Linked DNA regions of Notamacropus eugenii. The protein of the gene in region 4 purifies or fractionates together with the protein of the main gene of each other region. This does not show direct contact. Links are inferred from orthologs where the notes say so. Each region holds a gene or a part of one and is shown on either strand. Other genes may lie near its edges. The genes, in order: ANGEL1, eukaryotic translation initiation factor 3 subunit F-like, HHEX and EIF4E.

The links.
Region 1: the proteins of EIF4E (region 4) and ANGEL1 purify together in Homo sapiens (affinity purification with mass spectrometry; 3 studies listed by BioGRID and IntAct, counting the BioPlex papers as one, with this or other methods). This does not show direct contact. The link is inferred for Notamacropus eugenii from reciprocal best matches to the Homo sapiens genes EIF4E and ANGEL1.
Region 2: the proteins of EIF4E (region 4) and eukaryotic translation initiation factor 3 subunit F-like purify together in Homo sapiens (affinity purification with mass spectrometry; 3 studies listed by BioGRID and IntAct, with this or other methods). This does not show direct contact. The link is inferred for Notamacropus eugenii from reciprocal best matches to the Homo sapiens genes EIF4E and EIF3F.
Region 3: the proteins of EIF4E (region 4) and HHEX purify together in Homo sapiens (affinity purification with western blotting; 3 studies listed by BioGRID and IntAct, with this or other methods). This does not show direct contact. The link is inferred for Notamacropus eugenii from reciprocal best matches to the Homo sapiens genes EIF4E and HHEX.

What each region holds. Positions count from the first base shown.
Region 1 is NC_092878.1:60,402,248-60,410,136, forward strand, and holds the start of ANGEL1 (protein angel homolog 1), read right to left. Parts: upstream 3,008-7,889; 5' UTR 2,772-3,007; intron 2,106-2,771; 5' UTR 2,062-2,105; intron 1-2,061.
Region 2 is NC_092877.1:31,464,334-31,472,340, reverse strand, and holds the start of eukaryotic translation initiation factor 3 subunit F-like, read right to left. Parts: upstream 3,012-8,007; 5' UTR 2,989-3,011; coding exon 2,661-2,988; intron 1,355-2,660; coding exon 1,284-1,354; intron 992-1,283; coding exon 912-991; intron 1-911. UniProt on the Homo sapiens protein: Component of the eukaryotic translation initiation factor 3 (eIF-3) complex, which is required for several steps in the initiation of protein synthesis.
Region 3 is NC_092872.1:209,358,534-209,366,178, forward strand, and holds the start of HHEX (hematopoietically-expressed homeobox protein HHEX), read left to right. Parts: upstream 1-4,637; 5' UTR 4,638-4,709; coding exon 4,710-5,088; intron 5,089-7,645. UniProt on the Homo sapiens protein: Recognizes the DNA sequence 5'-ATTAA-3'. Transcriptional repressor. Activator of WNT-mediated transcription in conjunction with CTNNB1.
Region 4 is NC_092878.1:136,684,984-136,692,392, reverse strand, and holds the start of EIF4E (eukaryotic translation initiation factor 4E), read left to right. Parts: upstream 1-4,403; 5' UTR 4,404-4,562; coding exon 4,563-4,580; intron 4,581-4,979; exon of another isoform or gene 4,980-5,081; intron 5,082-5,386; exon of another isoform or gene 5,387-5,467; intron 5,468-7,409. UniProt on the Homo sapiens protein: Acts in the cytoplasm to initiate and regulate protein synthesis and is required in the nucleus for export of a subset of mRNAs from the nucleus to the cytoplasm which promotes processes such as RNA capping, processing and splicing.

The DNA.
Region 1 (7,889 bases), about 76 Mb from region 4:
AGGTGCCCAGGAATCCAAGCCCATACCAACATAGGAAAAGGATCATTTGGAATCAGTCCAGAAACTGGGGGTATACAAATTATGTTCAGACAGAATTCTGGTTTCACTGGCCTGGTCTTCTATTCTACAGTCACTTAACAATCACCTGCCTCAGTTTCTTCATCGGTAAAATGAAACAATAATAGTACCTAACTTCCATTCTTCATCTGTAAAATGGAGCGATAATAGTACCTAATTTTCAGGGTTGTTGTGAGGATAAGATGAGATATTTGTAAAGTGCTTTTGCAAATCTTAAAGGTTATTTAAATACTAGTTGTTGCTGTTATTCCATATTCCACCTCCTTCTGGATGCTTCCTTAATCCTATTGCTTTTCTATCCCCACTCCCACAATATTTGGATTTTTTCTGCAACCTTCCAGATTTGAAACTTGTAGTTTTCTAGCTGATGGGTGCCTCTCTGCCAAGGCAGTTCCACCAAAAGTTTGGAAGCCAACCAGACACAAGGAAGGGTCAAATAGGACCCCTTCCATCCCTACAAAATGCCTATGCAGCTCTGATTTGGGAGCTGCTGTGACAAGATCCTACCCCTAGATGGGTGAGCTGTCTTGAGGCAGCAGAGACTCAAGAATCCTAGACTACTGTATTCTACCAAGACCTGAAAACTATCGGGCTAGAGGTTTTCAAATAATATTGTTGGATATGAATCTCTTTCCTGACTCTTTCCTCTCTTGGGAGTGGGAAGTTCTGTCTCCAGCGTGGCAAAGTCAATATCCTCCTGCTTTGGAGTCCTATCCCTATTTTGGGAGTAGTAGTCCTGTCCCTAGTATGTCAGAGTTGACAGTCTCCTATTTTGGAGGTGTCAGTCATGGCCTCAGTATGAGAACTATATTGGGCTGCCCTGGTACCCTTCTATGCTTTTCCTTGCCTCTTATTTCCTCAGCTGTCTCCAGTTAAGCTGTATGGTCTTCTTTCCTTAAACACCTCAAAAAAAAAAAAAGACACTCATCTAAGATTTCAAAGCCTCTCATCAATGGACTCTGGTAGGTAGATATATGGAAACTCATATGGACATATGGAAAACTGGTATATTAAAAGGAAAGACCAGAAAGATTATCTGAGGGTATACCAAAGCTCTCAGAGTGAAAAGAGCACTGAAAAAGTTGCTGAAATTCTCCTCCCATACCTCTCCCTACTTACAAGTTCACAGAAACATCTTGATGTTCAAAAATATTAAAAACATACATTCAGATAGTAGACAGCTCCTGGATCAGAACCCACTTCTTCTCTCTCTGCTCCTATGTAAGCACTGGGTGTGGAATTCCATGGTTCTGTAACTATTTGTTGGGGAAAATATGGTGGAAAGAGGCTTAGACCTAGAAATCAAGATGGCACTATCCAAATTAAGAAAATGATTTAAGAATTCCTCTCTTTGAAAACTCTTCCTTCAGGCTGCCTACTCCACAAGGTAGGCAAAGCTGTCACAGCAAAAACTAACCCTTAGTTCTACAAGTCCTACCATAGAAAGGCCTTAGCACAATCTCAGTCATTGTGACAGTGAAACAATCATTAATTGATTCCAAAGTCAAAGGATTCTGATTCAAATCCTGCTTCTATTTTATTTTTATTTATTTTTAATTTCATTTCATTTTATTTATATGTGATCTTGTGCTTGACCACACTTTCTTCATCTATAAAATGAGAGGGTTGGACTGAGATTTCTAAGATCTTTTCTATTCTTCATCTATAAACTCGTTCATTCTACAGATGAAAAAAGTGAGGACAAGAGCATTAAGCAATTTTTTTCTGATGTCACACAGGTTGTATCATGACTAGGATTTGAAGCCAAATCCTATATTCTTGTAACTACAACACACTATGTTCTTTGATTTTCCCCAGGATCACTTTGGATTAAAATTTTTAAGTAGTGGCTCCCCAGTGTCTGTGATCAGGAATCATTAACAAGATTCCACATTCATTCTCTCCACCCCCACCCCAGACTCTTGTTTATTTTGAATAATAAATGTTATCTTCCCTCTGTCCCCAAAGCCAAGCTGTCCTTACCTCTCCAGTTCTTTCTGTCCTCTGTCCTCTTTCCCTTTTTTCCCCTGCAAAGAGATGCCAAATGCCCTTTAGAATCTCTTCTCTCAAGTTTCTGCAGCAATATCTTTGTCTAGGGACCATATAGTGACCCCAAGTGAGTTCCAACCCTTGCTCTTTTCAAGGAATGTTAGATATAGAGGTAAGGTGGTAAGGTGTGTGTTGCCCATGTATATCTATGTGGGATGTCTAAATATATAAACAAGTGGCCTGAGGGGTTGGCAAGCATAAATATCTAGGAAATCTTGCCCAACCCTCTCCAAGAAAGACTATGATTCTTGTCTTGAGGGGAGTAAAAGAGATGAAAAGGCTGGTTCTCCTCTAAGAAAGATGCTTGCCTTGCCATACTAGAACAATATTCAACTGCTTCCCTAAAAATTGCTACTCTAAAGACACTATTTTAAGTTCAAGATACTTTTGTGGCCACTATACCATAAAGGGAGAGAGTAGCCCAAATTTATACTCACTGGCTTGGCTCTTTCTCACCAAAGACTAGTTATAAAAAAAGGCTATCACAAATAGCTAATAGTGGGTTAACCCATTTACCAAAGCAGATAAACAGAAATTGAAGAAATGCTGCAGATTAGAATATACCAGAAAAGATATGAGTTAATGAGTTCTGTAGATGAGAGCAAGAGGAGCTCTCACTCAGCCAAGAGAGACTTCAATCTCACCAAAAGAGAAATTCCCAAGGTCTCTAGGGAGGCAGGCTGGAAATCAGGGACATGTCAAGGCATCAACATCCCTTACATGTTTGCCACTTCCAAAGACTTTTTTTTCTTTTTCCTCACTGGAGTCAGTCCTGAAGGAAATCTGGAATCATGTGTGTCCTTTCAAAAGAAGAATAAAGAATGTCTCTCTCCTCCAGAGTTCTCCCACCAACTCCACCCTCACACAGACTTGATGCATTGAGTCATCCTCATTCTCACCACCAATTAAGAAAGACTTAGGCAAAGTATTCCAGGCTTGAAAGCCAGATTACATAGATGGTTTTATTTATCTTGGTGGGGGGAGAGAGGGAGAAATTTCATCTAAGTTCATGTAACAAGTTGTGGGCTAGTCAATACGATACACTGAAGCAGTGGGCAACTTCCAAGGACAAGACTTAAAACTGGGGCCAGGGTGGATGGGAGAACCTTGCAAGAACCTTGAGAAGAAAGCAATAGGCTACTTTGTGTCTGTGTATCTCACTCCCTCCACAACTCAGCCCATGAAAGAATCAAGCAGACTTTTTCATAACATTTGCTGTTGTTAATTTCATACCCTCCCCCAACAAACACACACACACTATGCATTGTACTAACCCACAAAGAGCACATCAGAGTGACATGAAGGAAAAAGGAATGGATTTGGAGTCAAAGTCTGTGTGAATTTCAGCAAGTCACTTCTCTGAGTCTCAGTTTCTTTTCAATAAAATGAGTTAACAATTATTCTAGCAAGCTGGTCAAGCAGCCAAGGGTATGTGAATTCAAATTCTCTCTCTTCACACGTACTGGCTATATGACTCTGGGAAAAGCATTTACCCTCTCAGTAGCCAAAATATAAACTGTAGAGAAGGTGTTGACCTGAATTACTAGAATTTCCTTACCCAGGAGTTCCCTGGGCCAATGATTTAGTCCCTCTCAACTATTATTGACTTTGCAGAATTGAATGAAGATCAGGTAAGATAATCTATATAAAGTGGTCTATTGACTGAAAAGCACCATATAAATATGGTGTGCCCAATGAAAAGTCAGTCAGGCAATAGGCATCTATTAAACACTTATTATATGCCAGATGAAAGAAAGAAAGGAAGAAGAGAATGGAAGGAAAAGAAAAAAACAAAGAGGAAAGAAGTAAGGAAGAGAAAGAAAGGAAAGAGGGAAGGAGGAAAGAAGAAAGGAGAGAGAAAGAAGGAAGAAAGAAAGGAGATAAGGAAGGAGAGAGGAAGGAAGGAGAGAGAGGGGGAAGGAAGGAAGGAAAGAAGGAAGGAAGGCTCATTGAAGTATCTTTTTTTAATGGAGAGAAAAGAACAGAAGTCAGGCCAGAAAGAAAGCCAGACAATCAATACAGATCTTATAGGTGGATCTTATTACATACTTAAAAAAGAAAAGCGAGTTGTACCTAATAGAGATCTGCAATTTCATGTACAGTTTTCTTTGTTTCATGTGTTGCAATGGCCCAAATAATTTCTTATCAGGTGACCAGCCAATGGGTGATGTACCTCTCTATTATTAGTCAAGTTGATTCCTGGAAAGTGGAGTCCGTCTGTTACTGGAGTCACACTGTAAGGTTGTCCATCAAGTTTACCAGAATAGACCAGAATTTGTGTTCCACTAGTACAGCCTTCCAGAACCAAGATTGCCTCCACACCATCCAGGATGAAGCATTGGATTAGAACCTTGGAGAGGACTCTTATGGCCCAACCCTCCCCAGAAAGCAAAGGACTGGTTTTTCAATATTAACATTTTCCCCATGTTGCTATAGTACAAGGAGACATGGAACACTATTGCCTTCAAAAAGCTAAAAATGATCATGGCCCAGAGGACAAGGGAGAAGCACATGATGAATATGATCAGGTTGTAACAGAAATCTAGTGAGGAACTCAGGAGAGAAAGAGAGACAGAGACAGAGACAGAGACAGAGAGAGACAGAGACAGAGAGAGACGGAGACAGACAGAGAGAGACAGACAGAGAGACGGATAAGTAAGTTGGTGGGTAGAGTACTTATTATGCTTTTAGTATGTATAGTTGCCATTCAATTGTTTTTCAATCATGTCTGATTTTTTGAGACCCCATTTGAGATTTTCTTGGCAAAGATCCTGGAATGGTTTGCCATTTCCTTTTCTAACTCATTTTACAGATGAGGAACTGAGGCAAACAGGATTAAGTGACTTGCCCAGGGTCACACAGCTAGTGTCTGAGGCCGGATTTGAATTCAGATCTTTCTGACTCCAGGTCCAACATTCTATTCACTGCACCTCCTAGCTGCCCCCCATTATGTACTAGGACTGTACTAAGCACTTGAGACACACATATAAACAAGTAAGACAGCCTTTGTCCTCAAGACAATAACATTCTAACAAGGAGGAGGGAAGGAGAAAGCAGAAGGGGAAAGGGGGAGGGAGTGGCATTTTTTGGATCATGAAGATTCAGTCCCTAGTGAGATAAGGAAAAAGCTGATCTATCTGGGCCATGGGATCCAGAGGCAAATTCCAGGTCACCACTGGGGAGGAGATATTGATGAGCTTCAGAGGCATGGAAGGCAGTGGCTACAGACCTTACTGGTGCTAGGGCTGACATCAGTCTAGATCACATCAGAGGCATTCTATATTAATGAGTCCCATGCCCAAGAAGAATGCTCTTGCCAGTGCTGGTGGAGAGGAGGCATTCCCTCTCCTCCTCTAGCACCCCACCTCTATTCTCTTTCCCCCATGTCACCTGCTGCCCTGTTGTGGGGACGGATACCAGAGCTCAGAGCTGGGTCTGCTCTCTGCAGCAAAGTGGTTCACGAACATCTTTCTTCCTGCCTCACCCTCTTCCACCCAGCCCCTGGCTTAGGTCCCCATGACATCAACCCCTTGTGATAACTTTGGCTTCTGTTGTTTGTTTCTGGGTGAGTTTCTGGTGAGCAAGGGGGCTGGGTCTGCAAATGTACATGGGACATAAGACAGCATGGCAATAGCATAAACTGCCTCGTCAGTAAGAGGGTGGGGACCCTGTGACACCCAGCCTGGCTAGTTTGAAAACTGCTGCTTTTGCTTGCTTGAAGTCCAGACTAAGAACACAAACCCCTAAAGGGTTGGATGAGAGGCTATGAATTAAAAACGCAAGAGCTAGGAGGGATCTCAGAGTCTTAGAAATTAAGGCCCAGAGAGGTTAAGACTTGACCAAAGTCTCACGGGTAGTAAATAATAAGAGCCAAGATTCAAGATCACTTCATCAACTCCAGTTTCAGACTTCTGAAAAGGCAAAGACACCATCTGCACTTTTAAACATGTGGGATAGGAGTTTAGTGGGAACACAGATTTAGACCAGGGCAGCTAAATGCTGCAGGGTTAGAGCACTTGGAGTCAGGAGGACCTGAGTTCAAATCCGACCGCAGACACTTACTAGCTGTGTGAACCTGAGCAAGTCACTTTACCCTGTTTGCCCTCAGTCTCTTCATCTGGAAAATGAGCTGAAGAAGGAAGTGGCAACCACTCTAGTATTGTTGCCAAGAAAATCCCAAATGGGGTTACAAAGAGTCAGACACAACTGAACAACAACAGATTTAGACTATAGTGAGTTCTTGGTTCATCCTCCTTACTCTGCAGATGAGGAAACCAAAGCCAAGGAAGAACTGACTTGCCCAAGGTCATAGATGTTATGAAGAAATAGAGCTAACTAGGGTCCTTAGCACCAAACCCAGGGCTTTTCCCACTATACTCCATCACTTGCTTCCCATTAGTCAAATCAACTCAATAACATTTAAGCACCTTTAAGCCAAGCATTATGCTAAGCAGTGGGGATACAAATGAAAGCAAAAAATAAGAATAAAAAACAGTCCCTATTCTCAAGGAACTCGCAGTCTAGCTGGGGGAGACAACGTGCAAACAACCATGTGCCAACAAAATATACACAGAGGTAATCATCACAGGGAAGGCAAAAAGATAAAGGAGGACTGGGAAAATCTTCTTGCATTATCCATGAAAATTCTCCCCACCAGCTTTGGGGATGTTAAATTATCACTGGAGGCTGGAGCTGACCCAAGACATCAGAGATCAGTTAATTCAATTCTTCACTTTAAAGTTGGGGAAACTGAGGCCCAGAAATGTTCATTGCCTTGCCCAACATCACACAGGTCACTTCATTGTGATCCAGCATTTGGCACAGAGTAAGTGCTTGAGAAATAATTTTTCATTCATCACTCTATTAGGTGCTAGGAGAGACCCAGTCATAACAGTGTAGATTTGGAGCTGCAAGGAAAACTTGAAGATCATTAACCTCAACCCCTCTCATCTGGTAGGAGACAGAAGTTAAGTGACTTACCCAGGGTCAAACAGCTAGTGAGTATCTGAGGGAGGATTTGAACCTACATCTTCTTACCTCAAAGTCTAGAACTCTACTACACCATGTTACCCCTTTGATTCCTTCAAGGAACATATTATCTAGCAGAGATACCCCAAGATATTTCCAAGTTTTTAAAGTGCTTGCCAAGCTGATGCAATGAGTACACATGGCTCTCTTCAGGAATTCAGTTCTTCAGGGATCTGGTTCTATTGGTATGGGCACTCCTATCAATACAAATCATAATTTCAATTATGCCTTAGCAGAGAGTCTGAATGAGTTTCCATTACAGAAAATGGAACCTGGGTAGGAGTTACTCTGAATTTGGCTACACTAAAGAACTGCTGAGGCAGCAAGGTGATGCAAAGGAGAGAAAACTGGGCCTAGAGTTAAGGAGTCCTGAGTTCAAATATGGCCTTAAATACTTATTAGCTGTGTGATCCTGGGAAAGTCATTTAACCTCTGCCTCAGTTTTCTAATCTGTAAATGGGAATAATAATAGTATCTGTCTCCCAGGGTTATTGTGAAGATGAAATGAAGTCTGGGGATGCTATCTCCCAAATTCAAGAGTTCCAGCATTCAATTTTTCAGGTACAAAGGGGAAATTTCTTTGGCTTGATTAAGCGTATTTATTACAAGGGTTTTCTTTTCTTTTTTTTAATTTAAATGGGAAGAAGAGATTTTTCAACAGGATTACAAGAAGCTATTGATACACTTTTTGTTTTTTGGTTTTTTTGGTAAATTGTATTTTATTTCCCCAATTA
Region 2 (8,007 bases), on a different chromosome or scaffold from region 4:
AATATTCTAATATTTCTAATATGGTAAATAGCAATGGATATAACCCCCCAAACTAAGAGCTCACTCCCTTCTTTTCCTTGTACAGGAAGCTCCTGAGGAAGACAGCCCCTACACCAATACACATCAGCAACTGCTCTGCTGTTAAGAAGTTAATTGACTTACAGAAACACAGAAAAAGTCTGTGTCAAATTTAAGACTTGAACCCAGGTTTTCCTGACTCCAATAAAAAGAAAAATCCTGAAAGGCCAGGGGAAGAAAATGGAAGATGATATGCACCAGGAAATGATCTCATTCTAAACAGCCCCAGGAACAAACACAAAATCTTGTAGTGTTCCAGCATCTTGGCTAAAAAACCACAGGCAAACTAGAATAATCCCACGGATATCATGTCCTTAAATGTGGAAGTTTCTGAGGTCTCTGTCTTTAGCTTTCTTCTCCCTAAACTCTTTCTCTTAGGACCTCATTAGCTCCCACAAAATTAGTTTAATTATCACCACCACTCCAATTTCCTGAGATTCAGTCTTCCACCAACTATTGTTTACTGGACATACCTAACTCAGTGAATGAGTAAATGAAGCATTTCTTAGGTACTTATTTTACATTTATTCCATGTACACTTCCTACGATGGAACATAACCTTCATGAGAAATAATTTTTCATTCTTTCTATATCCTGAACACATAGCACAGTGACCAGCATACAGCAGATGCTTAATAAATATTTGTTGGTAGACTGATCTTTTAAAGAACTTGCTCCTAATTTTAACGTTGCTCCATAGAGCCAGGCCTGGGACGTCAAAGGAAAATAGCTGTCTCAAAAGCAGCATGCTTATTATTACCAAAGTTTCACCAACCAGTACTGACGGACTTTCTATCTTGCCTTGCCCTGCCCCAATTTGGAGCTTGACTTACCAGCCCAGGATAAGCTCACTTGGAGAGACTTTCTTGTGCAATTCATACATATTTTTAGCAAATTCCATGTCCACAGCAACCTATACAAGAGAACACGAAATTCATGGTTAAAAACCAAGCAACTGATCCCCCCAGTGATGAAACTTGGGAGACAGTGGAATAAAGAAAAGGACACTTAAAGAAGCAGTCTCTATCCTATAAGTGATAATATCAGACTCCCAATACAAAAGCAGTACAACTGACTGGTTTTAGAAGCTCTAACCTTGTGTTCTGCTGCAGGGCAAGTAAAAGTGGTTCCTGTGGGAGCTCTGGTCACAGACTAGCTGATGGGAAGCAGGAGAACTCCCAATTATGGTCCATGCCCAAACTCACCTCATCCTCAGACTCATTATGTGGCACGGAAAAGCAGTTGGTGACTTCTACTGAGTGTTTGTCAATTGTTCCTATGAGAAAAAGAAAATGAGGAATGTCAACACAAGTGTTCCCTAAACTTATGATGCCAATACCTGCACCTCCATGTCCCCTGGGGCTGTGGATCAATGGCGCACCTGCTGCCTGCCAGGCCTGCGCTAAGGATCAAGAGGGTAAAGGATTCTAAGACAAAATCCTGGCCCCAGGAAGCTCATGGTCTATATGAAAAGCCAAGAATAAGAACAGCTAGCGTTTACATGGCACTTTAAGGTCTGTTAGGTGCTTTACTAAGCCACCTCACTTTATAATCATAACTGTGTGAAAAGGGGCTATTACCACCCCAAATTATAGATGAGGAAACTGAGAAAGGCTAATCAACTGCCTACAGTAACAACAAAGAAGGACCTGGGGCAGGCTTCCAGCCACTGTGTAAAAAGAACGGCCAGTTATTCAAAATGAAGGTACTTAAATTCCTGCAGAACCATGTATGCCCTACTGGTGGGTGCAGGGTAGCGAGCAAGCCTGTGATGTTCCGGTTCTCCTTCAGATCTTTTTGGATCTCGCCTCCACCGCTTAATGCAGCAGTCTTGGCTGTGCATCCCTATCAGTAAAACACTTCAGAGGGCACTTCCCAGCGTGTGCGGATTTACCTACACGTAATTTGCACAGACTACTGCGCTAATACCCACGTACGTCACAACACAGCCATGAGTGCTTTGGCAGGAGCGTGGCACGGGCGGAATCACGCTTTAGTAAGTTCGCCCTGGCAGCCTCCCGTGGGACGGCTCACGACGGCCAGTCAGGAAGCTGCCAAAGCTAGTGCCAGGCTGGAAAGATGCGGAAACAAAACGACAAGACTGGCACCTAACCGGGCACGGGGATAGCCTGAAGAGGGCCCTGAGATGCCCATCTCCGAGACAGGAAAGAGAGCGGTGCCCGGACGGGATCCATGCCTCCCCTTCCACTACCACCGGCTCGAGCCTGCCCCCCGGCAGCGGCCGCGACGGTCGTGGGGTGATGTGGGATGTCCCCGCTGGTCCGAACCCGCGTGACGCCCCCTCCCCTCATCTCCCCACCGGTCCGGACCCGGGGACTCTCAGAGAGCTTCACTCGGCTAAGCCGTCCTCCGTCAATTCGGCCAGAAGCTCGGGGCCCGGCAAAGGCACCGGCACGCGGCTGGACGCTGCCCGGCCCCGGCCCCGGCCCCCGCCCCCAAGACAAGCAGGACCAGGGACTGTCTCTACGCTTGGAACGCCCGCCCGCCCGACGCCCTGGTTTTACAGACGGAGGGACCGAGGCCCCGAGAGGCGGCCTCTCCGGGGAGGGGGCGCCGCTTACCCAGCAGAGTGCCGATGACGCGGCCTGCGCCCTCGTTGCGACGCTCGTAGCTGTCCACGATGGAAGCGAGGATGACCGGGTGCAGCCGGACCACGCGGCCGCCGGGGAACGGCCCGGGGAGCCCAGGCCCGAGGGGGGCCTGCACCGGAGCCGGGGTCGGGGCGGCCGGCGGAGGCGCCGACGCCGGAGCTTGGCCCTGGCCCTGCGGTGGGGCCGGGGCGGGGGCTGGGGAGGAGGCCGGGGCGGGATCCGGGGCGGACGCCGGGGTTGGAGTCGGGGCCGGGGTGGAAGTCGGGGAGGAACCCGAGGCGGCCGTCATAGCCGCCATGTTGCCGAAGCACGAAAGGAAGAAAGGAGAGGCGGAAGTACAGAGGGAAGGCAGGTCCAAGGAAAGGGAGCCTCGCTATAGGTCCAGCCTCAGGCACGAAACTTGCTTATTGGCTACGGATCAGTCTCGGGGAACGAAGGGACCGCCCTCTCTTGATTCGGGGCCGTGGGGCACAGGAACTTCCTGTTCTCGCCTCAGTTCCGTCGAGAATTCGCTCCCCCTCCGGACTTGTGTCTCGTACAGGAGAGTTCCGGGACACACAGGACTGGCAGTTGCTACATTGTAACTCGACAAACTTTTTTTTTCCCTTTCTTTGTAAACGAAACTCAGCAATTCAAGTGTTAAAGTCCGGTATCTGACTCTTACGTTGTATTTCTCCGGAACGTGCTTGTCCATAGAGGCTTTTGCTTCCATTCATTCCTATTGCATGCAAATCATTGTTAATATGAAATAGTACAGAATGAAGACAGTGGAGTCAAAACAATCACATGCTTTTCATGGAGACACTACCCTCCCCACTTGCTTCTTTTTAGATGGCTAGGTTGAAAAGCTGGGTATGCTTGACCCCTATAAGAATGAATTACCACTGCTGTTAAAATTCCCCCGTCTCTTGATATCACCTATCTCTTGTGCAAGAAAAGTTAGGGTAACGTTTAGGATCAGGGCTAGGGTTAGAGTGAAATTAAGGTTAGGGTGAAGTTCCTAAAGGAAATCTATTTGAAAGAATGTCTTCAGGCATCAACTATGAGTGTCCCCCCAAATAGAAATAATACAAATATAATACAGACAATATAAAAAAGTACATAAGCCAATTGATTAAATTTAAACAGGATAGATGTAGTCAGGGAAAATACTGCAGTCTGTCAGTAAGAGTTCTGGGAATATTGGGGGAAGAGGCACAGAACCTGTCACCCTGCTAGTTGGAGAAACGACAAGGATGGTCCTGTGCCAGGATCTCCCATGTCTCACAATGGATTCCAAAGTTCTTCAGAGAGACCTTGAGAGTGTCCTTGTACTGCTTCTTCTTACCTCCATGTGGGTGCTTGCCAGCTGTGAGTAAAATAGTCTTTTAGGCAAGTGTATGTTTGGCATTGCAACAATGTGGCCAGCCCCTCCGAGTTGCACTCTCTGCATTACAGTTTAAATGCTTGCCAGTTCAGCTCTAGAAGGGGCCTTAGTGTCCAATACCTTAACTTGCAGGTGATCTTCTGAATCTTCCTAAGATAATTCAAGTGGAAGCCATTCAGTTTCCAGGAATGATACTGGTAGACTGTTCAGGTTTTACAGGTGTACAACAATGATGTCAGCACAACCTCTTCTTTCCCACACTTTTCTTTGGAGACTTCCAAACACTGAGCTAGCTTTGGCAATGCTTCAATTCATCAGCTATAAGCACATTCCTGGAATTTGTTGTTGTTGTTATTCTGTCATGTTTCAGTTGGGTCTGATTCTTTATAACCTCATTTGGGGTCTTCTTGGCAAAGATACTGGAGTGATTTGCCATTTTCACTTGACAGATGAGGAAACAGAGGCAAACAGGATTAAGTGACTTTTTGAACTCATAAGATGAATCTTCCTAACTCCAAACCTGCTGCTTTATCCACTTCAAGACTTCGTTGCTCCCCTGCCCCCCAAAAGGTATACTGCTAAAGTAAGTGAGCTTATCCACAGTATTCAAATTTTCTCTATTTGCTGTAACTGATGGTTCCATGTATGAATGGCATGGTGATGGTTAGTGGAGAACCTCTGTTTTCTTAATGTTAATTATTAGATCAAAATTAGCATAAGGAGGGAATTGCTCCATCCTCTATTGAGTCTCAGCCTCAGAGGCATTGAGTGCACAATCATTTGTGAACAAAAAGTTACAAACCAATTCTTCCTCCACGTTAGACTTGCCTTGTAGCCTTTTTAAGTGAAATAATTTATTGGCAGTGTATAACTGACCTTGATGCTACTTTCATTCTTGTTGAAGGTGTCTGACAACACCACTGAAAACATCATACCAAAGAGTATGGGAGCCAGCATACAGATCTGACCTGTGAGAGCATGAAAGATATACATTATCCAGAACCTGTACAGACATGCCATCATGGAACTGGCATACAATCTGATGAACTCCTCTTGGCAACCAAATTTTTCCGCAGTTTTCCACAAACCCTCATGACTGTCAGTATAAAAGATCTAGGTCAGATCAACAAATGTTGTGCACAGACCTTTGTTCTCTCCTGACATTTCTTTTCCTGGAGCTGTTGGGCAGCAGATACTATATCAACCATTTCTCAGCTATTTCTGAAGCCACACTGGCTCTTGAGTAGATGACCATCTTCCAGGGGAAGGATTAGCCTATTCAATTAAGGAGGATTCTGGCAAGAATCTTGCTAGCAATGAATAAGGGAGAGAGCCCTTCACCCCACACCCCCATGATTGTCACAGGACAATCTATTTCCTTTTCAGAGAATTGAGTGTCAGGTGAACACCAAAGGTGGATTAGTAGCTCTGAAAAGGGCTCAGAAAGCCTCATATGGGAGATGCTAGTCTTCCCTGAACATCTGTATATCCCTGTGGCTTGATGGTTTACTTATGCCAGTGAAAAGGTTGAGGAGCATAGAAGAAGGAATGTCAGAGATGATGGGAGTGGAAGAGGGGAAAAATTCTCCCTTGCTATATGACCAGGGCCTGAGAAAGGAGGATGAGTGACAAGAATGGCAGTGGGCTCTGGTCCCTTCAGATCCAGGTAATCTAATCTGGGGTAGAGAGATCTGATAGTCATAGACCATGGAGTGTGGCACTAGCCATGAGGAGAGAACTACAAATAATCTGGTTATTCTCCTCAGAAGTGAGAGGAAAGGCACCCCAGAAAAGAGGGTGAAGAGACTCATATCACCCTCATCCTGCCCTGGGTCATCTCACCTGGGGCACATTCCCAAATAGCTCTGGTCAGATCTGAACTCTTAGTTAGAAAGGTTACCCAAAGATGATTCCCTCGTTCTGAGAAATGGGCCAAATTCCTGTGAAGATTTTCAGACATGGAGCTCTACTTCACTGAGGTGGTGTAGAAGGTGGATCAGAATTATGGAGAAATTCTGAACATCTGGGCTTTGATCACTTTTTGCCTTTAGGGTTCTACCAGAAGCATCTCCCCATAAAGGTTAATACCTTTCTCCCCCTGTAACCTCACTCCATTGAGTTCACCCCTTAATAAAGAGGAGATTGAGAAACTCAGATGGTCTGAGGGCTCGAATTTGAAGGATAAACTTTTTAGTCTGACGTTGGGAAAGACTTGAGCCTGGCATAACAAAGACTTTTCAGCATTAGGCCCAACAAGTTAATTATAAATCCATTTAAGTGTTACTCCTGCCAACAAGATGAGCCAACATCAAAGTATTTCTTTGTATTTTTATTGCCCCTCCCCCAATGGCAGTTGACAAATTCTGTGTGTAAAATATCTTTCCTCTAGTTACATTTAACCAAATGGCATTTCTTTAAGACATAGCTCTCATATTCAATAGAATTGAATGTGCTTTCAAATTCAGCCCAGCAACACTGAAATTATTAGAAACTGGGAGATAAAAACAGACATTTAAAGATTGATAAAAGTTGTTAAGAGGAGTATAAACATTCATTTCCGTTGGATTTGATTGGAAAGGACTCAAGGATGAAGGTCTAGAACAAGCTTGGAGACTCCAATTGCTTGAATGAAGTTGGTTTTTTCCTAGGACAGAGTCTGCCTAGGGAAGAGACAAAAGAATTATTATTAGGTCATCCCAACCGATGAAACTCTTAAATGTACTTTTGTAACCTGCATTTTTGTGGCCCTCAACAATGGAGGGTATATGAGAGCTGACGTGTATATACCTCTTAGCTTAGGACCATCAAGCAAAAAAAAAAAAAAAAAAAGTTATGGTTTTGAAATGAAGGTGTTAAAGCAGTGTTGGGAGGAGGGAGAAAATGAGGTAGAAAAAAAAATAGGAATCCCTCCTTCATTCCAAAGAAAGTGATGCCTCAATACACCTCAAAGAATTAGGACCATTTCAAAACAGACTCTCCAAATCGTGGCTATAGAAATTGCAGAAATGCTGAGTTTCCCCAACCTTTCCTTCTTTCCTGGAATTTAGCACCTCTTTCTCTAGAATGTTTTCTACAGTGAAGAAAAGGACAAGCACAGATTAGCAGCACCTGGTGACATCCACTCATCACTTGGCCTGAATGAGGCTCATACAACTTCTGTACTCCCCTCATTTCCTTAACTCCACAATCCCATCTGAACATTCCATTTTTCCTTCATCACTGTGACTGAGAGAGCCTTCTTCCTTTTCTCCCTCATTCGGTAGCCTTGTAACATCACACACCACCACCTCTTATTAATAACAGTAGAGGCTTGTTCAAAAATGAGGAAGGACTCTTGAAAGTCGGTCACTGAATACAGGTCATCCGCATTTTCAAAATCAGTGTTAGCCTTATGGGGCAGTGTCCTCCTAAGCTGATTATCTCCTGATTTGATAATATCTGCTAAATTGCATGGCATTAGCCATTAGGTAAGCTTCTCCACCTAGACATTTTGTCACATCAACTTCTTGGGACCTCTCTGAGGCACTCAAGGCTTTTAAGTATTTCTCTAACATAGCGTAAGGATTCCCAGAGCTTTGAGGACCAATTTTACTTACTTGGACATTTGTTCTTATGGGCCATTCTTTACATTTCTTCATTTTTGCTCTTTGATTTCTAAACCAGTTCCTAATCTGTCAAAAAATGAATGTTAAAGACAAATCACTTAACAACTTTTCCACTAATCTGTGCATACAAGGGAGTTAGCCTGATAATTCTCTCAGAGTTGTGCCTCCTATTGGCCAGATGGGGAATGTGAAAATATGGGGAAGGTAAAGGAATCATATCCTTCAAAAGAGGGGGACTACTGGGGAAGTTAGGTAGCACAGTGGAGTGCCGGGCCTGGAGTCAGAAAGACTCATCTTCCTAAGGTCAAATCTGGGTGTTTCACAGGAGGCACTGGAGAGTTTTGGG
Region 3 (7,645 bases), on a different chromosome or scaffold from region 4:
CTTTACAAATATTATCTCATTTGATCCTCACAATAACCCTGGGAAGTAGGTGCTATGATTATCCCCATTTTATAGCTATTATTATTTTCAGGCAACTGCTAATCCTGAATCCCACATGCATGAGTTTTTTCATCATCAGAAATAGACCAAATTCCCAAATTTATCTTAGTCCCCAGTGGAAGAAATCATAGGCAAGAACCACCTTACTATATAGTTTAGCCTTTTGCACAACAGGAGTGATGAAAATAAATGCTGCCAAAATTTTGGAAAAGCATCTTGTTTAATTCAGAATATAATTAAAATCTCATGTAGTTTTTATTGGTTTTAGTATCCAGCAGAGAAGAAATATTGAAACTCCAAGACCTTTTGTATTAAATAGCCACAACAGTTCTGTTTTTATTAGTTCTGACTGTGTGAAAAAAATCATAAGGACCCTGTTGAAAAAACCCGGGTTTTTTTTTAAAGCCCCGAATGACTTTTAAAACAATAAAATAAACTATAAAACCTACACTAGTGATATTAAAAAATTATGTTGTTCAATAAATGTGACATTCATGAATGTGGGTGTAATAGTGTTCAAGCTTTAGCAAAGTGGACCCAGGTCTAACAATTGAATTTGAAAGAAGTGGTGTTATATAACTTAGGAGAATTAAGTGTTTCAATGTCCCCATCAAGAGTATGCAGTTGTGGTGGAATGCCAAAGCCTGGCCACTAAGCCTCTCACTTCCAACTAGAATCAATTACTAAACGAAAAGGCAAAAAAAAAGTCTCTCTCCTCTATGTTGGTCTCTATTTTCCCAGTCTTTCAATCCATATATTTTCTGAACATTAATTTCATTTCAGATAATTTCCCATGATGGGTTGTGTCACCTTAGAGTAAAGAGTATGTGTATGTGTGTTTCAAGGATTAGGGGTGGGAGGCAGAGTAGGGTGAATTTATGTCATAAACTCTATTCAGTGGACCAATTTATTGAGTGACTATAGTGTTTACCCAGTTCCTATGGAGGAGAACAAAGGGGGTGGTCATCAAGTTACTGTAAACAGGCTAATAAGAAAGGAAATATAAATATATATGTATATATGTGTATGCATATATTGTGCATATGTGCACATATATGTGTATATATGCTCACATACATGTGTATATGTGTGTGTATAATTTGAGTACTTTGAAATACTTTACAAAATACTTTATCTTCTTGATATCTATCTTGATCCTCAGGAGAATGCCCAGGATTTAGTTTAGCATATGTTGTCTCTCCCACGTATGCAACATTGTAGTAAAGTGAGACACACCAGCATGGAAGAAGATGGCTGGTCTCTGCCTTAAATGATACAATAGACATAAATTATACAAGGTAAAATGGGGAGAAAGAGAGAGAGAGAGAGAGAGAGAGAGAGAGAGAGAGAGAAAGAGGCAAAAAGGGAGAGGGAGAAGGAATGAGGGAAAGAGATTTAGATAGAGACCTCCAGGAAAATCTGAGAGGATAACACTTTGGTGGTGGGAGGGATGATCAGTAGAGTATGGGGGAAAAAAGGTGTCATCTATGATGAGCCTTGAGAGGAAAAAAAAGACCTTGAACAGCCTCCGTGGTAGGTCAGAACTACAAGCCTTACTGTTGTCCCATCTCACTTATGGTCACATAAGTAGCAAGAACCAGAGGCAGAATTTGAGCCTAAGGTCTCTTCTAACTCCATCCTGTGTTGCAGTCCACCAGTCTGTCTAGGAGTGCTTCCCAGCTTCACTTTCCCCTCCAAATCTCCTGGGGGAGGTTTTTAATAAAAATATTGCCCTTGTTTGCCAGATAAGACCACGGCTACTATTAAATACATGGCAAAATGAGGAACATTAACTTGAGATCTAGCAACGATATTAGAGATCATCTGGTCCAACCACATTATTTTACAGATGAGGAAACTGAGGTGAAATGGTTTACCTGAAATTGTGTGCCTCATCTGTAAAATGGGTACGATATCAGTGGTAGTTATCTCACGAAAGAGCTGAGGAACAAGTGAAAAAATACGTAATTCATTTTGCCAATCTTAAGGTCCTACATAAAACAGCCTCCCGCAATCTCTGCTACTGAGTAGCAGGTGAGATTAGAATCTAGGTTCCGCTCTCCCTCTTTCCACAACGTTAAAAAACAAACAAAAAAAAGCACAAAAAATAAACATAAAAACCTCTACAAATCTTATACTAAGAGTTGAAACTAACACAAGAGAGGAAGCGATTTTTCTCAAGGGCTGGAATTAAAATCTAGTACAACTATATGAAGAACAGGCTGGTGGGGTTTTTTGTTTAACTCATTGATTCCCAAATTACCTCCACCTATCGTTTGAAGGTGTGTTTCTGCCTTAAGTTTCATAATTTAAAAAACAGCTTGGTTACAAACATGTGTGTGTATATCTATATCTATTGATCCTGTCTCCAATTCTCGCCTCCGTCCGAGGAGTGAGGGTTTCAGAAGGATGGGCAGAAGGATACCCACTTTCCTGCCTTGCCACAGGTGAGGGAAACTCTCAATGAGTCAGTTTCGCAGATGGGGAGTTTAGAATCCAGACGGCCCGGGATGGATAAGCGTGGCAGCGTTGTTTCAAGGCCAAAGAATAGCTACCAGAGCCCTCCCGGGAATGTGGCCAAAGACCGGTCAAGTCCCTGCAGAGGGGCGTTGGTCAGGAAAGAGCCTTCTTCTAAAGACGAAGGGGACCCTAAGTCTTTTTTTCCTAATCACTGCCTTCCAAGCATTTCCGTGGAAGAGATTTCAATAAAAAACATCTGGAAAGGGAGAGGACCGAGTTCCGGAGAGCTGTATGAATAGAAAAAAAAAAAGATTGGAAAATGGGGTCCTGCTAAGAAGGCTGAACGAAATGTAAGGAACGCTGGATTTGGAGTACAAAAGCTTAGGTCTGCTAATTGGTAGTTGTGTGATCTTGGATTAGTCACTGGACTTCGTTCCCAAAGTTTCCAACTTTGTAAAGTAAGGTAGTTGGACTAGATAATGTTTAAAAATACTGGAATCTCATAATTTCTACTATTTTCGTGAAATCTCTTCCTCTCATATTTATTTGAAAATATGAATAATGAGGACCTGGAGTCCAGGATTAATGGATAGCTTTCAGGGAGTTCATGCACTTGGTTGGATGGAGGGAAAATCACACCTTTGTTTTCACTAACTTCTAACTGAAATTTAGCATTTCCTTCCATCAAGAATTCTGAGTCCTTAGGTTTCACCAGACGCCAAAGGGACTAGATGGTCTTTATGCCCTCTTCCAGATCTAAATCTTATGATCCTTTGGCCATGTTTAAAGCTAAGGGTATGGTAACACATTCTCCTTTTTTGCATCGTCATTATTATTAATAATAACAATAACAGCTAATATTTATAGAGCGCTTTCAGTTTGTAAAATTCTTTGCCTGTATTGCCATCTAATTAGAGCCCAACAACTCTTCGAGTTGTTGCTATTGCAACAACTATTATTATCCCCATTTTATGGATGAGGAAATTAGGATTGAAAGAGTTTGGTAATTTGCCCGGGGTCCCACGCCTAGTTCAGAGTAACTGACTGGAGCTGAAAGGTCTTCCACTTTTTCAGACTAGCTCACTCTTCATAAATTATGCCACAATGCTTCACCCAGATGGTTGACTTTATAATTAGAAGGAAAAAAAAGGCTTTTTAAAGGAAATTTGAGAATCTTAAATTCTCTTTGGAAGAACTGAGCATTTTCAGTCCGCTAAAAGTCCAGCTTTCGTCTTGAAGACCCAATGAAGTGATAGAGAACCACGAATCTAGCCTGTTAATGGCATTAGATAGTAGTAGCAGGCGGTTTGGATCTGAAAGGCATTCAAGGCGTTTGTGACTCAGTTTTAGTGTTCTCACTTAAACCGCTCCCCCTTCACCCTTCCTTCCACCCCATTCCTCCAAGTTTTGATTGGGAAAAGTCGTGGCAAGGCGCTACCTGAACCTCGCCTGCCCAGAACCGTTGCCTGCACCACCGCCCTGACTAGGGGTCCAACAGGGTCCCTTCCCCACCAGGAGCTCTCCGCTGCCGGAACTTCAGCTGAGGAGGGTGGCTTAAGTAGAGGTCCCATAGCGTGGGCCCAAGACATCTGGGAGGATCTGGAGGCATGTTCTTCCACTGCCGCTCCTGCTCCAGACCCAAAACATCGACAGCGGACTACTCAGGTCCAAGCCCTGAACGGGTCGGGGTAAAAAAGGTCCGCCCGGGCCGCAGGGCTGGGAGCTACCGCTGGGCGCTTCCCCACCCAGCCCTTCCCTTTTACCGCTCACTCTCCTGGGCTCTCCCCTGGGGGCACGACACTGGCTCGGGATGCGGACTGGGAGAGCTAGGTGCCGCCTCTTCTTGGGCTCCCGGGGAAGACAGTACGTAGCCCCGCATCTGGACTGGAGGCCCGGAGCGGCCAGGAGCTGGGGACCAAGGCCGGGTCACCCCTCGGCTCCGGGGGGCGGAGAGCCGCGGGAGGGAGCGGGGGCGGGAGAAGGCGGTCCAGGGGCAGGGGCGGGAGGCGACTCTCGGGGCCCAGCCCCATTGGCCATCGGGCCCTGCGGCAGGAAGGGGACAGGGACTAGGCGGCCCCACCCCGAAGCCGGACGAGCCTATCGCCGGGAGCGCGAAGCCCGGATAAATGTAGCGCCGGGAGGCGGGAGGGCTGCTTACAGAGGGGCTGCCAGTCAGTCAAGCGGCAGCCATGCAGTACCCGCACCCCGGGCCTGGGGCCACCGTGGGGGTCCCCCTGTACGCGCCGACCCCGCTGCTGCAGCCCGTGCACCCGACGCCCTTCTACATCGAGGACATCTTGGGTAGGGGAGCCGGGCCCCCGATGACGCCCGCTGCTCCCACCCCAACCCCCACTCCCACCCTGCCTTCCCCCAACTCCTCTTTCACCAGCCTCGTGTCCTCCTACCGGACTCCAATCTACGAGCCCACGCCGATCCACCCCGCCTTCTCCCACCACCCGGCCGCGCTGGCCGCCACTTACGGGGCGGGCACCTTCGCGGGCCCTCTCTACCCCTTTCCCCGGACGGTGAACGACTACACGCACGCCCTGCTCCGGCACGACCCCCTGGGTAAGGTGGCCGAGGGCAGCGTGGGGGGGAGTGTGTCACTCGCTGGCGGCAGCTCTGGGGCGTTGGCGCTGGTCCTTGGCGAGGGCGTGGGCGGGCAGGAGCCAGCAATTGAAAGTCATAGAAAAAGCCATAGAAAACGCCGGCCTTGGCCTCAGAATGCGCGGCCCAGAAAAGGGAGCAGGGGCTGGCCCGGCTTGGACTACCCTCCCTCTTGTCTTGCTAGTTCTCAGTCGGGACTCTGATCACACTGGTGACTCAGATTGGTTTTCCTGCATCTCCCCCACTGACCCCAGGATAAATAGCTTTGTGGCAGTATGTGGTCAGAACCAGACTGGGTGCCCACAGGGGCTCCTCGGGGTAGCCACTGGACTTGGACGAAGCTGTGCGCTTTCGGTGCCGAGAGATTAACATTGTCTCGCATTCGTTGAAGAGTCAGTCTCCATGGGGGAAGCGGTTTAGGGAGGCGGCAGGGCCGGTTTGTGAAGAAGGCTCAGGGAGAACGAAAGGGGTGCACATCATTAAATGGGTTCAGGGGAGCCCCGATCCCTTTGTGGCACTGATAGCCTCAAGCAGCCTTGGTGCTTACAAGGCTGGACTTGGTTCAACAAGTTTGTGCAGCGAAAAGAGCCTGACCCTTTCCGTTCATACAGGAAATCTTGAGTTCTCGATAGGAGTAAATCTGGTTTCAGAAGCTGTTAAGTGTTTTCCTGGCTGCGTGGAGCAGCCCCTTCCCCGGGAGTCGTGCACGCTGCTGATTATTTTATCGACATCCTCAATACAGACAAATTCAGGAAACACTCGACTTCTGATAGCCGGGATCCGTTTTTCTGATATTGTTCATTTCCTCTGTGTGGGATGTGACTTTATGGCAGCTAAAATAACCAGTTGCTTCCTATTTTTTTTTTTTTTGAGGCTGTTTTGCACCAGTCTGTAGGCTGACGCAAGCAAAATCTCGAAAAACAATACTAGAATTTCAAAGGTTTCAGACGCAGACCGACGGGACGGACAGACCAAAGAACGCAAGAGTCCCTGGACCTGAGCGGGGCCGGCGCCCAGGAGCCTGCACGCCCAAGAAAGCTACATTTGATTTGGCCTGGTTGTTGGCCCGTGCCCTTTGCTGGCCAGTTGGGCAGTGATTGCAACTGAGTCCTAACTCAGGCTCTAGTCCCAGGAAACTTGCCGCAGTTTTGCCCCGGTCTGTGTAAATTTTCATGGATGCGTTGTTAAAACGCAGAATCGGGCCGCGGGGAGAAACAGACTCACTTTTCCTAAACCGAGTAGTGATGTCGAAGTCCTTCCCAGTAAAAGGAAGATTAAAGGAGTGGATTCACAAATAGCTGCCTCAAACGACCCCCACCCACTCCTTCCCATTTCAGGCGCTGCAGCGAAAGGTTCTGGGTTAGAGCAGGTTAGGCTAGTTAGGTTGTTGTGTTTCCAGCCTCGCTGGACCTGCCTCCCTAGGATCTCTGAGGTTGGCACTCGGGGAGGACGTTTGCACAGAGAATGCACAGTGAGTTTCCTTGGGTTACGACTGTGAAAGAGCAGAAGGAAGCATGGGGTTTTTCGAGATAGACCAACAGGAAACACATTGACGGAAATGTTGCCATAGCCCTAGGGGTGGCTTTAACTGGCCTCCTCAGAGAGCCTGGTGTGAAATCAGAGGAGCCAGAAGAATCACACTTAAAGAAGATTGAAAATTCTTGGTGCACCCTGGAACGTAGGCGAGCCAAATCTGAATCGCAGAGGGACCTTAACAGGAGCAGCTTGCTTCCTTCCCCACGAAAGCTTTCGTTAGCTCCACGTAGGCTAATAGAGAAATAGTGTAAGGGGCCACTTCTGTGGTTTTTTGGTGTGACATTCAATCCTACCAGTGTATTTGAACTCCACCCAGTCAGGGGGTCTTTGGCAGATGAATGGTGGTGTGGAGGGGAGGTGGCGAGGAGGAGTAAGAATAACATCTCATACTTATACAATCTCGTTCCTCAAAATATCTTTGGAAGTAGGTTCTGCAAATACATTCTCTCTTTACAGATGAGGAAACTGAGGCTTGGAGGGAAGTGCAGTGCTTTTGTAATTGAGTTCTGGTGAATTGCCTAACAAGGATTATATAGCCAGCCAGTCAGTTAACATTTACTAAGCACCTACTATGCGTTAGGCACCGAGCTAATTGCTAAGGATACAAAAGAGAAGCAAAAGATAGTCCCTACCCACGATTTAATGGGGGGGACAACAAGCAAACAAATATATACAAACAAGATATAGACAGGATACCTAGGAAATAATTAAAAGAGAGAAGGCACTAGAATTAAGTGACAGGGAAAGATTTCCTACAGAAGATGGGATTTTATTTGGAACTTAAAAAGAAATCAGGTTAGTTACTAACACTAGTTAGTAAGTGACATTGTCAGGACCCCAATCCTACTTTTTTGACTCCAAGACTTGGATAACAGATATAAAATTTCTATATAAGTATGAGCTATGATTAAACATCTGTGTATATGGTCAAGAATGACATTAAGTTGCAGTTAAAAATCTGAATAATTTGTCATTCCTAATC
Region 4 (7,409 bases):
TGCCGAAATGTACTCCAAACTTGACATTCCAGGTTTTCTCTCATGCCTTTGTACAAATTCTGTGTCTGGAATGTCATTCTTCCTCATGTCTGGGGCCACTGATGTGCAAAGCCTTTTCTGAGACCCTTAGTTGCTAAGTGTTCTCCCCCTACTTGGTTATCTTATTTTCTTAACGTTGGGTCTCTTTTGTGTGTGAGTTGGACTAGAGAGCCAATAAACATACATCTCTCAAATAGGCTATATATCCAGATGAATATAAAATCTTCATGAGAAATAATATTTTGTTTCTTGTCACTGCTTAGAATAATGTATTTTTTTAAGCACTGCTTTTAGTAAGTACTTAGTTGTTGAATTCAAAGCCACAGAATTTCAGAACTGGAAGGGCCTTCAAACGCAGTCACCACTGATCCAACCCATCCATATCTGGAAAAAAAAATCCCCAATACAACATACCTGACAGAGATCATTCAACTTTTGTTTGAAGATTTCAGGTAAGGGGTGTGTGTGTGTGTGTATATGGGGGAGGGAGGGAACTGGGCTCTTCTCTCAATTCCACTTCTGGTTGGCTCTCATTGTCAAGTTTTTCTGTACCAAAAGCCAACATGTCTTTTTATAATTTTCATGGGTTGCTCCTAGTTCTGTCTCTGAACAAACCTAATCTTTCCACGACAGCCTTTCAAATACTCAATAGTTGCCATGCCCTTACCCTGTCTTCTATTCTCCAAGCAGATATCCCTACCTTTTTTCAAATAACCTTTCAGTGTCTTAGTTGCCCTTTCTCTGAACCCTCATTTATTCAAGGAGAATGATGAAAGGGGAAAAAGACTTCAGCCACAGTCAGAGGTCCTGAGTTCAGCTGTCAGCTCTAGGTCTTACTACCCCTTGTGCAGCTGGGCAAGTCACATCTTCTCTGGTCCTCACTTTCCTCATATGTAAAATAAGGGGGCTAGACTAAGCATTCTCCAAGGTCTCTCTCAGTTCTTTTATGTAGGACTCTATGTAGTTGCCATGCCCTTACCCTGTCTTCTATTCTCCAAGCAGATATCCCTACCTTTTTTCAAATAACCTTTCAGTGTCTTAGTTGCCCTTTCTCTGAACCCTCATTTATTCAAGGAGAATGATGAAAGGGGAAAAAGACTTCAGCCACAGTCAGAGGTCCTGAGTTCAGCTGTCAGCTCTAGGTCTTACTACCCCTTGTGCAGCTGGGCAAGTCACATCTTCTCTGGTCCTCACTTTCCTCATATGTAAAATAAGGGGGCTAGACTAAGCATTCTCCAAGGTCTCTCTCAGTTCTTTTATGTAGGACTCTATGCTATGTTCTGCCTAAAATGTCATGCCCAGAACTGAACACAATCCCTGCAGATGTGATCTGAACAGGGCAGAGCGCAGTGAAACAATCACCCTCTTACTCACATACCTGTCTTCATGCATCTTAAGAATGATTTAGCTTCTTGGCTGCCACATGTCATTGCTAATTGCTACTAACTGAATCTGTAGTTAAATAAATTCCCTAGTTCTTTTTCACATGAATTGCTGTCTGGCCACACTTCCCCATGTCTTGTATTTGTGGGACTTTTTCAACATGTGTAACACTTTACATTTATTCCTATTGTTTCATATTATTAAGTCTCAATCCAGTGTTCTAGCCCATCAAGGTCTTTTGGAATCCTGAATGTCATCCAATGTGTATTCCTCCACCTTGGTATCAGCTATGAATTTGACAAACATGTCAACCTGGTCTTTATCCAAAATGCTGCTAAAAATTCCTGGGGCATACCATTGAAGATTTCCTCCTGAAATAACTTAAAGCCATTAATGCTGACTCTTGGGGCTCAGCCATCAACCAGCTATAAATTCTTCTGTATTTTGTCATATAGCTTACACCTCTCCATCTTTCCACCAGAACAACATGCCAAATCCTTTGCTAAAACTTTTGCACTGCCCTATTTTAACAGCTTAATAACCCTGACAAAAAAAGGAAATGAGGTTAGTCTGGCATGACCTGTTTTTGATGATGCCATGCTGACTCTTTGGGATCACTCCTTCCTCTTAGAGATGAATTTAAAGATGTTTGAAATAAATTAAGAAACTGATCTAAGTGAACAATCTTAGATTCCTTTCAGCCACAATATTCCAACTGATCTATTGTTTTTGAAATTGTTCACAACTTTTATATAAAAGGACTTAGTTACCTAATACCAGTCAGGGAGTAAGCAAGATCTAGTTAGAAATGCTGGATATTCCCTTAGAAAATCTTTAGAAACTACCTCCAGAATAAGCATTATCTTTACTCTTACGGAGCAACACAGTAGCAGATACAGTCCATCAAATTGTGAGCACTTCGTCAAGGCTTCTAGGAATGCCTAACCCGTATTATCTTGTTTTTGTTTGGAGGTACCAAAAGAAAATTGGTAAATCAACGTGTTTGAATATCCACTCTGACAGAGACTGATAAGGAAGATGCTACTAGGGGAACAAAATAAATAGGCATGAACTGTTTTTTTGCAAACTTTACAATCCACTGAAATTATTTTAAATTTATGAAAGATGAGATGAAAAATACACCCAAGAAAACACTCAAACTAAACAAATCCAGCTGTAAAATGCTTGGTATATACATAAATATCAGGAAGGTGCTGGAGTGATTAGAAATCGATCTTTTTTCTCAAGAACTCAATTTTTTTTTCCCATAATGCAAACAGGATCTGGATTCAAGGAAGGAAATGATTAACAAGGTTAGTCTTTGTAAAAAAAAAAACTTTATTATGTGAACTGATTTAAATTTTATGGGTAGGGGACTTCCATTTCTGCTTCACTTTTCCTCTGGTTCCTGCAATAAAGTCTGGTATTATGGAAACAGCCTTAAGAATTTTGCAAGAAGGTAGTCTGATGGTGGCCACTATTAAGAAGAAAATACCAGTAAAATCAAAAGTTTTTGACTATTTTAAGCAAGAATGGTATTTTCTATAGAGATATCTTTTTTATCCTCTTTAATTTTGTCGGAATTCTTGTCTAATACATCTATACAAAATAAAAGTCTGTTACATTCATTACCTTGGGCACTCAAAGTCAATCTATAGACGAAAAGATGATGACCTTGAGGCCCACGGGCAGCCCCAATGATGTGCAAGCCAATTCAGCTTCCATTATGCACTCAACAATAGGTATGACACTGCCTCGGACATCAGCTTCAGTAACAGCAGGCAGGTATATGCCATAGTGGTAACTTTCTGAGACGACATTCTTCAAGGCATGGGAAATAGTGGCGGGGGGGAGTTCCTCAAAGGGCCCTCTTGGTAGCGCATTACCAGACTTCTTTTTCTGTACCAGTTTTATTAATAAACAGACCATGTGCAATAGCACCGACCTGGAACATTCTAGGTACTGAGCAGAGGGGAGGGGGTCCAGGGTGACACATCGCCCAGGGCTGGGGGCGGATTTCAACGCAGTCCCCGTCAATTTCAGTGAAACTGACCATCTGCCGGAGGGAATTTACCTGGGAGGGGGTTGGGAGTGGGCTTTTTTTTTATGGGGGGGATTCATGATTAGCCGGCCCACCCGGAGAGGTGGTTAGGCGAGGCCGCAGCTACTGCCCCTCTCGGGCCGGGAACCCCACCCCCCAGGCCGGGGCGGCCGCGCGCCCTTGTGAGGTAAGGCAGCTTTGAGACCGCAGGCGGGAAAAGCCCAGGCCCCCGCGAGGCAGTCACTGGCCGGGGGCCCGGGCTCATTGTTTGCCAGGCCCCGCCAGCCCCGGCCGTCAGTCCGGCGCTGGGTGACCAGGGCCGCCGGGTGCTGCTCCGGGGGGGGGGACTGGCCTCAGGCGCCTGACGCGGCTGGACACCGAGCACCGAACGCCGGGCCTCCGAAGGCCCACTCCCGCCCCCGCTGCTAGGGCCCACTCCGGGCAGGCATGGCCGGGAGGCGCCAGCGCTAGCCGCGTCCCGGCCCCGCGCCGTCCCGCCGGCCGCTCGTCCCCGCTGCTCCTTTCCGTTCACTAATAAATAGAGAAGAGAATGAAGGCGGCCGTGAGGACCAGGGTGGCGGGAGGAACCAACGACGCCAAGTGAAGGCGGCCCCGGGAGCCTTGCGGAGGCGCCCAGCCAATGAGGTTTCTTCCTGTGAGCTGAGCCCACGGGGATGATGGGAAGCCGGGGGACGGCGGCGCACCGACGGCTCTAACGCGGAGGAAGAACGCAAGACGGAGGAGACCCCCTCCCGCCGCAGCCTCACTTTCGCAACCGGACCGAGCCCCACCTCTGCCTCACCTTCCTAGCCCCACTCACCCGCCCGCAGCTCAGCGCCGCACCGCCTCCGTAGCCACGTGATCAGTCCTCTTCCCAGCCTTCCTCCTCACTTAAGGGGAGGGGAGGGAGAGGGGGAAAAAAAGACTCCACTTCCCAGAAGCCCTCGGTTACCCACGCACCCGCCACCTTGCGCAGGCGCTGCCCGAGCCAAACGGACACGCTCGTCACGTGGGGGGCGACCGGCCAATCCGGTTTGAATTTCATTTTTTTACTCTTACCCCCCCTTCAGGAGCGGTTGTCTGATCAGATCGATCTAAGATGGCGACTGTGGAACCGGTGAGTGTTGCCTTCGGCCCCCCCACCCCCTACCGGGTCCCCGCGCCCGGTTCCCCTGGGGCCTGGGAGACTCCGCGGGACTGCGCTCCCGGCGCGCACGCAAACTCCTCGCCGCCCCCTCCCCCTCTGTCGGGCGCTGACCTCCCGGCGACTGCGGTGACTGGGGGCGCCGGGGAGGCGGCTGCGGCGTGTAGCGCACACATTCTAGTGGGGGCAGGCGAGACGAGAGAAGAGGTGGGGGAGGGGCGGCGGGGAGCCAGCGGCGGTGTGAGCGCGAGGTGCCCGGATGGGGGAGGAGGGAGGGAGGGAGGAGGGCTAGGGGCCGGGTGGGGAAGTTGCGGGACACGGGGCCGGGGCCCGAGCTGGGGGGGGGGGGGGGCAGGCGGTGGGATCGGGGCTCTCCGGTCGGGGCTGGTGGCGAGCGCGTGGGGCGAGGAGTACGGCGAGGGTCGGCGGCGGCGCCACCGGCCGTCGTGGGGACGTGCGCCGGCGGTCCGCGAGGTGAATGTCGGGGGTTGGTGGGGCGGGCGGCGGCACGCGCGGAGGGCCTGCACCACGCCGGCCGCCGGGGCGCGGGGAGCGCGCGCGAGCGAGCCGCCGGCCGGGGTTGGGGGGCACGGGGGGCCGAGGGCGGGGGGCGGCTCCGCCTGGCGGTGCGCGACCGCGGCCCGGGGGAGCCGGGGCGGGAGCACCTTGCGTGCCCTCCTGGGCGCCGGCCCGGACTGTGCGGGAGGAGCGATGGCGAGGGGCGGGGGCCGGGCCGGGCCGGCTTCGGACTGCCCTCGGCCCTCCATTCATTCATCCTTGCCCCCGGTGTGCGCATTGCGCATGCCTTGGACAGTGGGAAGAGGCCCGAGTCTTCGATCCCTCCGAGGCCAGATGGATTGGTAAATTGACCCCGTTGGGCGGAACTTGTGACGAACTGGGGCTTTTATTTCTCGCCGGTCTCTCTTCCCTCCCGGTCGGGTCCAGACAGCCGCAGCTTAGACCGGGAGAAGCAGACAGACCTAGGGTAGGCAGTGCCCTGCACTCCCCAAAGGGGGCTGGAACATGTGTCCCTTGGTGGGGCTTACCATCTGCCCTTCTGGCCGAGGCCTCCAAAGCCCCTACGTGGCAGTTTTAAATCTATAAAACACCCAGACTCCGAAGCACCTCGATGACACTTGAACTGAATGAACAGTTTCATAGCAAATGACTTGAAATCTTAATAATTCCTTCAGAACTTTTTCCTTTTACAGTTAGCAGTTCTCTCCATTTCATTGAGGAATTCTTTCCTTAGTTCCCCACCCCTAGTTGTGTTCATAGGGACCATACATTTCTGCCGTGCTTGTTATGTCCTTAGAAAAGTAGTTACAGTTGTGAAAAGTACTTTGATCATTCAGCCTTCTGGTTTTTTTTTTCCGGTGATTGAAAAACTTACCCGACCTGTGTAGTCTCATTAAAGTTGCTTTTTTATACACACATATATGTGATTTAAATAGAGCTCGTTTTATATATGAGGTCCAGAGATGTTAAAAACTATGACCTATTAAGTATTTGAGCCAAAATCTTCATCAACTCCAAATTCAATGCTTTTCCTAGTATACCTTATTACTTTGTTCTGGGCCTTCTTACGGAATGATTCCCCCAGACTTGCACAAAGTAGGTTTTTTAAATTACTTCTGCACTTACATTGATTTTTTTGATAAAGGGTTGATAAAGGGTTTGTACAAATGTTGGGGAATAAATTTGTTAGCTTTAGAACTCTTAAGGTTCTGCTACAAAAAGAGGGCAGGATATTTAATTTTACATACGAACAAAGCATTAACTTTTAAAATATTTGCAGGTCTTTAAGTCTATGTCAAATTGAACCTTGTGTAGCGTTCACTATACAAGTTTACCCCTGGAACCAAGTTAGTAGTAGTAGGAGTAAAGTAAAATAACTTTTAAAACAGTAGTGTAGTTCCACAAAGAATTCTTAATATTTGGGGATTTTCAAAACTATACAGTATTGCTTTGATTACCACATAGCCAGTACTAACTCAGACAACAGATTAAACAGTTCTGGATTGCATTCTACCAGATACCAGCCTATAATTTGAAAAACTAGCATGTTGATTCAGGTGGCTTGGGAGTCTTACAATGAGCATTTACTACCATGATTTCTTTTTACCTGTCCTTTTTTCAAGTAGGTATTTAGAAAGCTGCTATGTATCTGGAATCATTTGAGTTTTGATACTGCTTTTGTAACATTTGATCTTGTGGAAATAGATACATCAAAAAATATGTAACCTTTTGGTTTAGGATTTACAAAATACCAATGTGTTGGATATAGTGTTTTTAACTCTGAAACAAACTTATTAATATCTAAATATTTGAGAACAATTTGAGAACAATTTCAAGTTTTATCTAATGACTCAGTAAAGTGTGTAATTAAAATGTAGGTTGCTTTATTCTCATTCTTGTTCTTTGAACTTAATTTCAAACCAAAAACTTCTTTTTCCTAGACTACTAGGTAATTTTAAAAAAAGTTTTACAAATAAGTATGTTCACCTGGTTTCAGTTTGGCTTGGTTTGGTTTAGTAATGATGCAACCTGCATCTCTTAGCTCTGTAAACAGAAGTGTAGTTTGAATCAGACTTGATTATAATGTTTTATAGGAAAACAGCTTTTGTATAGATATCTTAAATTCATCATGATTAAATCTTAAGCTAGCATTTTGTATTCTTAATGATTCAGCTACTCCTGAGGCTAAGGTCCCTGTCTCTTGGACACAGAATATGTAAAACTTTCTTTTTCAGTTTTCCTTTGTGAAAAGAGAACATTTTATTTTCTCATTTCTTGAGAGTT